Nothobranchius furzeri: one gene and its partner. The protein of the gene in region 1 interacts with the protein of each later gene in a pairwise test. Links are inferred from orthologs where the notes say so. Each region holds a gene or a part of one and is shown on either strand. Other genes may lie near its edges.

What was found.
Region 2: the proteins of exosc10 (region 1) and mphosph6 interact in binary tests that used the Homo sapiens proteins (3 or more experiments, as listed by UniProt). The link is inferred for Nothobranchius furzeri from reciprocal best matches to the Homo sapiens genes EXOSC10 and MPHOSPH6.

The regions. Positions count from the first base shown.
Region 1 is NC_091755.1:29,809,084-29,813,658, reverse strand, and holds the start of exosc10 (exosome complex component 10), read left to right. Parts: upstream 1-1,599; 5' UTR 1,600-1,679; coding exon 1,680-1,805; intron 1,806-2,530; coding exon 2,531-2,667; intron 2,668-2,855; coding exon 2,856-2,979; intron 2,980-3,064; coding exon 3,065-3,169; intron 3,170-3,294; coding exon 3,295-3,454; intron 3,455-3,542; coding exon 3,543-3,651; intron 3,652-3,733; coding exon 3,734-3,809; intron 3,810-3,884; coding exon 3,885-3,995; intron 3,996-4,109; coding exon 4,110-4,253; intron 4,254-4,575. UniProt on the Homo sapiens protein: Catalytic component of the RNA exosome complex which has 3'->5' exoribonuclease activity and participates in a multitude of cellular RNA processing and degradation events.
Region 2 is NC_091744.1:80,075,165-80,079,705, forward strand, and holds the start of mphosph6 (M-phase phosphoprotein 6), read left to right. Parts: upstream 1-1,472; 5' UTR 1,473-1,624; coding exon 1,625-1,672; intron 1,673-2,365; coding exon 2,366-2,478; intron 2,479-4,541. UniProt on the Homo sapiens protein: RNA-binding protein that associates with the RNA exosome complex. Involved in the 3'-processing of the 7S pre-RNA to the mature 5.8S rRNA and play a role in recruiting the RNA exosome complex to pre-rRNA; this function may include C1D.

The DNA of each region.
Region 1 (4,575 bases):
TTATTTATTTATTTATTTTGCTGTCACCTTCAGCATCAGCAGTTTTAGTGTCTGTACTGCACGGGGAGAGACTTGAGTAGAGCAGGGGCGTGTCCAGGGAGTGGCCTGGGGTAGCACATGCCACCCTTGGAATCTGATTGGCCACCCCAGGTGCCACCACACTAATTTACCTTTAAATAGGCTTTTCATTGTCCACAAAAGGCTTGGGGGTAAAACAAAAAAAGCATAACCATTGGTGCTACCCATGCGCAAAATTGTGCCTCACCTGGGCCACCCCATTTTAAAAGATCTGGACACCCCACTGGAGTAGAGCCTTGGAGCGCTATCAAAGCTAGAAAATGCATCATATTTTTAAAGCACATAAATTGGGGTGAAATGCAACAATAACATAGATTAATAATATGACAAAGTTTATTAAATCTGGATTAATACGTCATTATAAAGACTGTTATCAGTGATAACTCAATGGTTTCAAAGTAATATAACACTCAATATCTTTAGAAACGAACACATCAAGTTGCTGGTTTTGTGCAGCGACTTTCCAACAGATGCTGATTCATTTCTTTGAATTATTAGTGCACGTGTGTGCCGAAGTTTGGTTACTCTCCGCTGAAACAACAGAATGACATGGAAAGATGCTGTGAAATATTGATCCAGTCAGTGTTGCGGAGATGCTTTTAAGATAATAAGAAGGAGAGGGCCTCGTGAAGAAATCGATTTGAATGGGAAGTGAAGAAAAGAGAGGTTTCTCCCCACACACCACAGATCATTTATAATGAGCTGGCGTGTCAATACTTTGGCTCTTCTCATGTATTGACCACTGGATCACAGCAACACCCGGTTTTTCTAATTTGTTTTGGCAACAAACACTGAGGGGAATGAATACATTTACAGTTAGGATACCTTCATCCTTGGTCAAACTCTGCAAAAATAATAAGCTTTCGATTCAAATATAATATAGACGTCTCTTAAACAAATATTGGTGGAGACATGACTGGTGCATTTTCCTTTTTCATGTGCTGCAGATGCTGAGGAGTGGTTTGCACACTTTACAAATGTAAACACTGCCCCCTCATGGTACCAGAGTCCTGGTGCATCTTTCTGTCTAAACTGGATCAAATGGGGCGATAAGAGAAGAAATCTTGCAGCGTCTGCAGTCTCACTGCATTGGATGGATGCTCTGCTGACCAGAGCACAGTCCTGCGGGATTTGTGACCAACATCCTTTCAGATTTGTAGTGAGAGTAGCCAGCATTACAACAATACACAGCAAATATTCCAGATTTATATCATTTAAACCAACAATTATTTTATCTATTTGTTGATTCAGATTCAGTTTTTGTCTTTTCTTTATCATGTAGAAAATTAATTTATATGTACAAACACTTGTAAAAATGTTGCTATATTTAATAACTTCAAGCTTTTCAACAGTATTTTGTACACTATTGTACATTATTTATGTGTTTCGTTTATTATGTTTACATTTTTGAGTGTAGTTTCAAATCAGAGAGCAACTAAATCAATTTTAAAATATTTTATGAGTATTCACTCCTGTGTAATGTTGACACTGTCCACTCCATGCCGAAAGGGGGCGCTGTGACCCTACTGCTCTACCATTAACACTGAAGGTAAAGGTGGCGCTGTTTCCGTCAGGCACTCATGTACACAACTCAAATTTAGATGATGAATTCTTCAAAGAGTAATGATGCCACGGACAGCAGCTGTCAGGGAGGTAATTTGGACACTACTGAAGAAGTGAAAGATGAGTTATGTCCTGGTTTCAAAGACGCGGACACCTTCGTTAAAGTAAGTAAACAAAACTAGCTAGCTAGCCAGTTTTTAGCTTATGCTAACAGTCCAACGTGGGTGAGCTGGTTGGCCAGTTAGCAGGATCATCATTGGGAGTTGAAGTCAAGCAAAGCAGAGACAATGACTTAACACTATTCATAAATTAAAGGTGCAACGGTGTGGTTGTGTGTAACGAAGCTTTTTGCCAACTAGCTTTTGACAGCTTTTTCATTTAGGGATCCAAATCAGCAGTAGATATAAGCTGATGATTAGAGCAAAATATGTTGCTACAAGCTTTTATTCCACTAGATTCGGGGTCTGCAGTATTTAAGCTTAAATAACCTTTTTATTGTCAAATATAATTTAGTAAAATAAACTATGAAGGCATGGCAGCTTTATTTGTGTAATGCATTTCATACAACGAGGCATTTAAATAAATAAGGAGCGCATGAAATATTTAATTTTGATTTAAAAGTTGCTAGAGTTGGGGCACACAAAAATCACCATTAAATTAAGACAAATGTTTAGATTTTTTTCTGTTTAGATTAGTTCTTCATATATTTTTTCTGTTTGGTCAAAGTTACATTTGGCCCCATCAGAAAGAATGAAAAGCTGCATTTTCCAACAGCCAAGCTTTTAGGCAAATCAACATCACATTTAAATCAAACCAATGAGATTTTAAATATTATTGCATTGTTATTATCCTTTAGTAATAGTAACAACTGAACCTGGTCTCTTTACAGTATGGTTTGGGTGCAGTGTTATCGGCCACCAAAGCTTCAGCTGGCTTACCTCAGTCTGGAGATGAGTATGATTTCTATCGGAGCTTCCCGGGATTCCAGGAGTTCTGTGAAAGTCAAGGAGATAAGCTTTTGCACTGGTAAGTGTAGTTTCTATTGGCACATGTCAATGATCAATCAGCATGTAACCAACACATAATTAACAATTATTTTATTCTTTTTGTCACTGACCAGTTTTTCAGAAGCAAGCTCAAGTTTAAACCTGAACTGAGTATTCTGAGTTCTGAGGGAGTAAAACAAGGTTTTAATCTGTTTAACTGTCTTTTAGCATGAGCCAGATAATGCAGAACCATGGCTGCAGATCTCACATAAAAGACCGGGACAAACTCACAGGAATAGAGGAGAGGTTTGACTTGGTTGTGGACTCGAATGATGTTATCCTTGAAAGAGCGGTATGACCTGCACCTTTGGCTCTAAATTACTTAATGAATGCAAAGACCTTTGCAGACCAACCAGGTTCTGCTGTCTGGTTTTTAGGGCATTCTTCTTGATGAAGCTGATGGGGTTAATCGGAGCCAGAAGCCTGTCATGCCTGTTGGGTTTCAGCCTCCGAAAATTGTTGTTTCTAGTTGGAATCGTAAGGTAGGTGAAATAAACAGTTCTTCCTGTTATCACAGTTTTTCTGTTTTGAACTACCTTCTTGCTTATCTATAAATTCTTATATCATAATAAGCAGAGTGTGTGTGCGTGTGTTTTTTTTTTTACAGGGTTCCAGCTCTGGCAGTCGTTCTGAGACATTCCGACTGCTCCATGCCAAGAACATTGCAAGGCCTCAGCTGAAATTCAAAGAAAAGGTCGACAACAGCAACACACCTTTTGTTCCAAAGATCTTCATCAAGCCCAATTCATTAAAGGCTCTTCCCTCCTGTAAGAAGCACCTTTGGCACATGTTTTGATTTGCCATTTCAACTCGTCAGCGTATCTGAGTTATTTATTTTCTTTTCTCAAACTGTAGATTTTACCAACAAACAAATTCGTAAAGAGAGGCCGGAGGACCTTGACGTCCCAGCTGCCCTGGCTGACTTTATCCACCAGCAGAGGACGCAGGAACATGTTGAAGACATGTGAGACTTGTCCCTGGTTGTGTCAACACCGTGTTTCATGTTTTCATTTCTCTAAGTAGAGTTTATTTTTTATTTTATGTAGGTTTGCACACCCGTACCAGTATGAACTGGACCATCTCATAGTACCAGAAAGCTTGCTGTCCAAGCCAGAGCCTCAAGTAATATTAACCTGTAGTAACCCAACAAAATCATCTTGTGCCGGTGTGTGTCTCATCTGTTTCTGTTCCTTCTAGATGTACAAACCGTTGGCTGAGACAAACCTAACCTTCGTCGACTCGCTGGAGGATCTAGTGACTCTCAATGAGAAGCTGTGCAAGTCGTCTGAATTTGCTGTGGATCTTGAGGTACTAAAGTCTCGTGTCTTTCTGTTCTAATTAAAATAAAAGTAGCTTTAGGAAGTCATTAAACTCTTTGGAGGCTGTTTTTCTGTTAAACATTTTCTTTTTTTTCTGTGACAGCATCATTCCTACAGGAGTTTCCTCGGCCTCACCTGTCTGATGCAGGTCTCCACCAGAGAGGAGGACTTCATCATTGATACTTTGGAGCTCCGCAGTGAATTGTACATTCTGAACGAGGCGTTTACCGACCCGAGTATCGTCAAAGTAATGAAACTGTTCTATAAATGAGTTAATTTAATGTTGAAGAGATGAGCTGAGTCTGACTTGTGAAGGGAGAGCGTGTCTCCATCATCCTAGGGAGCAGTTCTCCCTCAGCAGTTAAGATAAAAGCCAGATTTCCGTCTCATTAACATGTTTGATAAGGTTGGCAGGTGTCTTGTGCGTGGGAACCAGCGTGACTCACACTCTGCAGGACACCTCTGAACAAATATGATGTGTGGGCTTGGAACAGCTGAAAGATTTGTTAAATTATTCAAATTAAAGTGTTGCATATGTGTCCAGTTAATTTGTCTTTTTTAGTTCAGAG
Region 2 (4,541 bases), on another chromosome or scaffold:
ATATCCAACAGCCAAGCTAACACTAAATAAGTATGTATAACACTAAAAGCTATGCTAAAGACTAGGATATGCTAATGCTATATGCTAATGCTGAACTACGGCTAGCCTCCTACACTCTCATGCAAATCCAACTCCCAACTCGCCACAAGGCGTGGCCGAGACTCCCGATGCTTTTATAACGTTGACACAGAGCTGCTACGTAGTACTCTACTGGATTACGTAGTATCTTACTCTTTAGCCATTGGCTAAAATTTATTCAAAATGAGTCAAATTCTATGTTTTAAGCTGAAGGTGGAGCTATACTGTGGTATTTAGGCAGAATTTTTAATTTTTTAAGAAAATGCACCAAAATGCTAAAATAATGAATACACACATTTAAAACACTATTAGACACTCATTTATACAGTTCATCAGCAAAAAAAAGTTAATTTAGACGTTACTTGCTCTTTAAGTTTGATCAGAAGTTGCTATGTGTATTGTTTATTTGAAAACTATTTACAGAGCAGCCTCAGAGTTGAGATTAAATGTTTTTGATCACAATAGTAAAGGAACTATTACAGAACAAGTTTTTCAATAAAATCAGAACATTAATATTTAAGTGCATGAATTAAGAGAGAGAGAGAGAAAAAAAGATCTTTTCTATAGCGCCTCTCAAGATAAAAATCACAGGGCGCTTCACAAAAACAAAACATGTAAAATAGAAAAAAGAATTTAGAAAATGATTAAATTAAAATGAGCAAAAAATAGACAATTGTGATTAAAAATGTAAAGAAAGAGAGAGAGAGTGAATAGGAAAGAGGGAGTGGATCCTCCTCAGGAAGAGGAGAGAGAGAGAGGGGGGGGGAAAAAGAACCCCGACTGGAGTGGAAGCAGTGACATAAGAATTAAGTCACACAACGTTTTCCACAAATGCACACGTTCATTCGGAAAGCCACACTCTTGTGTTTCACAAATATAATTCGGAGGAACACAAATGCACAAGCTCATTCGGAAATTCACACTCTTTGACTCATAAATATAATGTGAAAAAATAAGTCACGCAACATTTTCCACAAATGCACACGCTAATTCTGAAGTTCACACTCTGTGGTTCACAAATATTATTTGTAAGAACACTTGTAATATAAACTCACAGATCATCCGAATTGCTGAACGTGCATTTACGAAAAGCTTCTCATTTGTGAACCTTTCTGCGTTTGTGAGTGAAATCTGTGCGCTGAATTTTGGGGGCTTGTCTCCAGCATGTGTTACCATGGTGAATGGGAGGGGCTTCAAGCTAGCCACATTGGTCTTTAAATTATTGTTGGCTAATGTGTTTCGGTTTAAACAAACAAACATATAAACTGAAATAATTTACACAAATTCATCTTCGAGTGTTTTCACGGTCATGTCCTTTTATCTTTCTAGAAAAGGTTAGATGACCAGGATCCAATTCGAACAGCTGCTCGTGTTTGATTCATCATCCTTAACATCGACCATGCATGCGCATCAATGTTCGATTGTTTCAGACTGTGGTGAGCGCTTAGCCCAGTGGCTAATGCTAAGTGCTGATTGTTAGATCTAAACGAGTTCGTTTGAATGAGTTCGGATTTACTTTAAATTAGTATAAATTAATCGGCACAATATGGCGGAAGATTCATTCAAACTGTCAAAAAACCTGCTGCGGATGAAGGTAAGCGTTAGCTGCTAGCTCTGCGCCGAACGTCATTGACTAAACAGAAATGAACGTTTGATGTGTGATAAGAAGACGCTAGTTTCCTCCCAGATGCTGACTCCAAGCAGCGTTTATCACCCTGAAACTGAACTTGAATTCGGGGTAAAGCAACGAGACGAAGCGGATTTAGGCGTGTTTCAGAGATGTATCTGATCTCTGTGAACCCGTGGAGGAGCGGGATGTGCCTCCTTCATCTGGACCACTCTGAACCAGGACCGAACCTGAGAGAAGATTCTACCAAAGTCCAAAAAAATCCGAACCACAGCTCACAAAAAGCCAGAGCTTCTGGTGCAATGATTAGAATCTTCACTCCCAACACGTCCTCCATCCTGAGCAGCACCACGCAACGTCCTACAGAATCAAGTCCAGGATGGACCGACTGGTTCTGGGAGACCTGGTGGCCGCCAGAGAGGAGCCTGGGAAGGGAAAGCTGTGCCTCTTGTTTTACTGTTAGAACCTCTAGGAAGGAACCAAACTTGCTGCTGCCTGAGAACCAGGAGTTGTGGGAAGAGAGAAGATTTCTGATGGAAGTCAACTTTAGAAGTTCTGGATCTTCCAGGAAGCTGATGATCTTGGCAGCATTGTTGTGGACCTGGCTAACGGTGGTTTTGGTTGGGTCCAGATTGAGTAAATGTGTGCTTTGTGTTTCAGTTTATGCAGAGGGGACTGGATGCTGAGACAAAGAAGCAGCTGGACGAAGACGAGAAGAGGATCATCAGTGATGAACACTGGCACCTGGACCTGCCGGAGCTCAAATCTAAAGAGTATGAGAACAGGAATCCCACTAGCCTGGCGAGCCACGACCCATAGACAGATCTAAATAATGGGGTGGGATCTACGTTTTTTTTTTTTTGTTTTCCAATAACATCCTGCCTACTTAGTGTTGCGATTGGTCCATGAAATCTATATAGCGCCATGATTGGACCACTACAGAACAGCAGCCATCTTTATTTGTAGTTTACCTGGCTGATACCTATGTTTGGACAGTTTCGAGCGGCAGCCATGTTTGTTTGCAGGGACATCCCTCCCACCTCGCTAAAAGAGCACTGTGATTGGCCCAACAAACCAGTAAAACACTGATTGGAATGCCACGGATGTCAGTCAACGGGGCAGCCCGCCGTTACATTAAAAAAAAAAGTAAAACAGCGCGCCAGCACTAGCCTGGCAAGCCAGACTAAATAAATGTATTATTTAGGCAGGATGTTGTCTGAAAACTCAAATTTTATTGATCCTATTTATCTTAATAATTCCCACAAAACTAGATGGTACTAGATTAGTAGTAAAAAGTATTGGTATTGGGCGGCAATACTAGCCCCTGTATTTACTTGGTATCGGATCGATACCAAATTTTGCAGTATCGTACAGCACTACTGACTAGTCGGCGGTCAGCCGCTCGTTTGAAATGGCTTTGGCGTCAAGTTTGGACTATTATGACTTTTTAGCTTTTGTTTGAGTCAAGATCAGATAGAAGTACTAACGTTTATTTAGGAAAAGGATGTGTTTTGCATCTTCTTTGACGGAGTTTGGTGGACTGCCTCGTTGACCGACATCTGTAGCGGTGAGTAAATCAATGCTTGCCAGGCTAGAAGAAACGGAATCGATACCATCACGCAGGTATCTAGTAAATACTCAATACCAACGTTAGATCGATACTATCGATATCTTAGCTCGATCCGCCCAGCCCTATTTGTCAGTTTTACTGCCTCGACGCTCCGCAGCTACAACATGGCCGCCGCCTCCTCTCTTTCCATTCAATGTTTCTGGTAGCAGCGGTAAACAAGGCTTTGAAGTATCGCGCAAATTCATTGTGACTCGAGACATGTGAGGTTTGTCTTATTTTACTTACTGCATTATGAAAGTAAACAGCGCGTGCACACACACACACACACACACACACGTTTATTTGTCAGGACGGCTCTCCTCCTCACTGCACCTTCGCTCGGCCAGTGCTTCTTCCCCGGCTCCTCGGGCCCCGCCGCCGCGCTGATTTGTTTTAAAGAAAAACAACCTCAAAAGTCATTAGATGGTTACAACCTGTCTGTGTCTGGTCATGTGGGGCCTTTCCCTTTTTTTATTCTGTCATGAGACTGTGGCCTAGTCCACACGTAGCCGGGGTTTTTTAAAAACGAATATCCGCCCCTCCAAAAACTTGCATCCACACCACCTCGTTTTAAAAACAAACTGTCCACACGTACCTGGATAAATACGTTGTTAAGGACATGCCAGACCTGTAGGCGGCAGTACTTTCCCCGTTCTTAACCTCGTCCTTCGTCTGTGGTCTTCCGCAAGGAGCAGTAATTCCTCTTGCAAAAACAAACAAGCAGAAAGCGCTTGGACAATTGATAAAGCGAGCGCAGCTCTGAGGGCATCCATGCTGTCGGCTAGTGTAAACACAGGTCGCACACGTGATGTCAGCATTGCTTTGTCGCAGAAAGTGACGTTGCGGACCTTAAAACTCCGGTTTTGTCCGTCCACACGCAGACACCCAACACGGAGAAAACGCACATCTTCACTTTGGCCGGAGTTTTTTTAAAAAGATCAGTTTTCGTGTGGATGACAGGCCAAAACGTAGAAAAATATCTACGTTTTGGCAGATCCCCGGCTACGTGTGGACAGGGCCTTTGTCTGCCACAAAAAGGGTGGTTTATTCACTAGAATTCTCTCCGTGGTCGTCAACCATGTCCTTCAGTGTATTTTGTGAGCTGGACACCTTGATGTTTACTTGTGCAGCCTACAGCTCTACGTGTGTAAACATGCTGATGGATTGAGCTCTGTTTATGACAACTAACAGATAAACGCTGGTTGTCAACAGAGCGGTGCCGGCTTC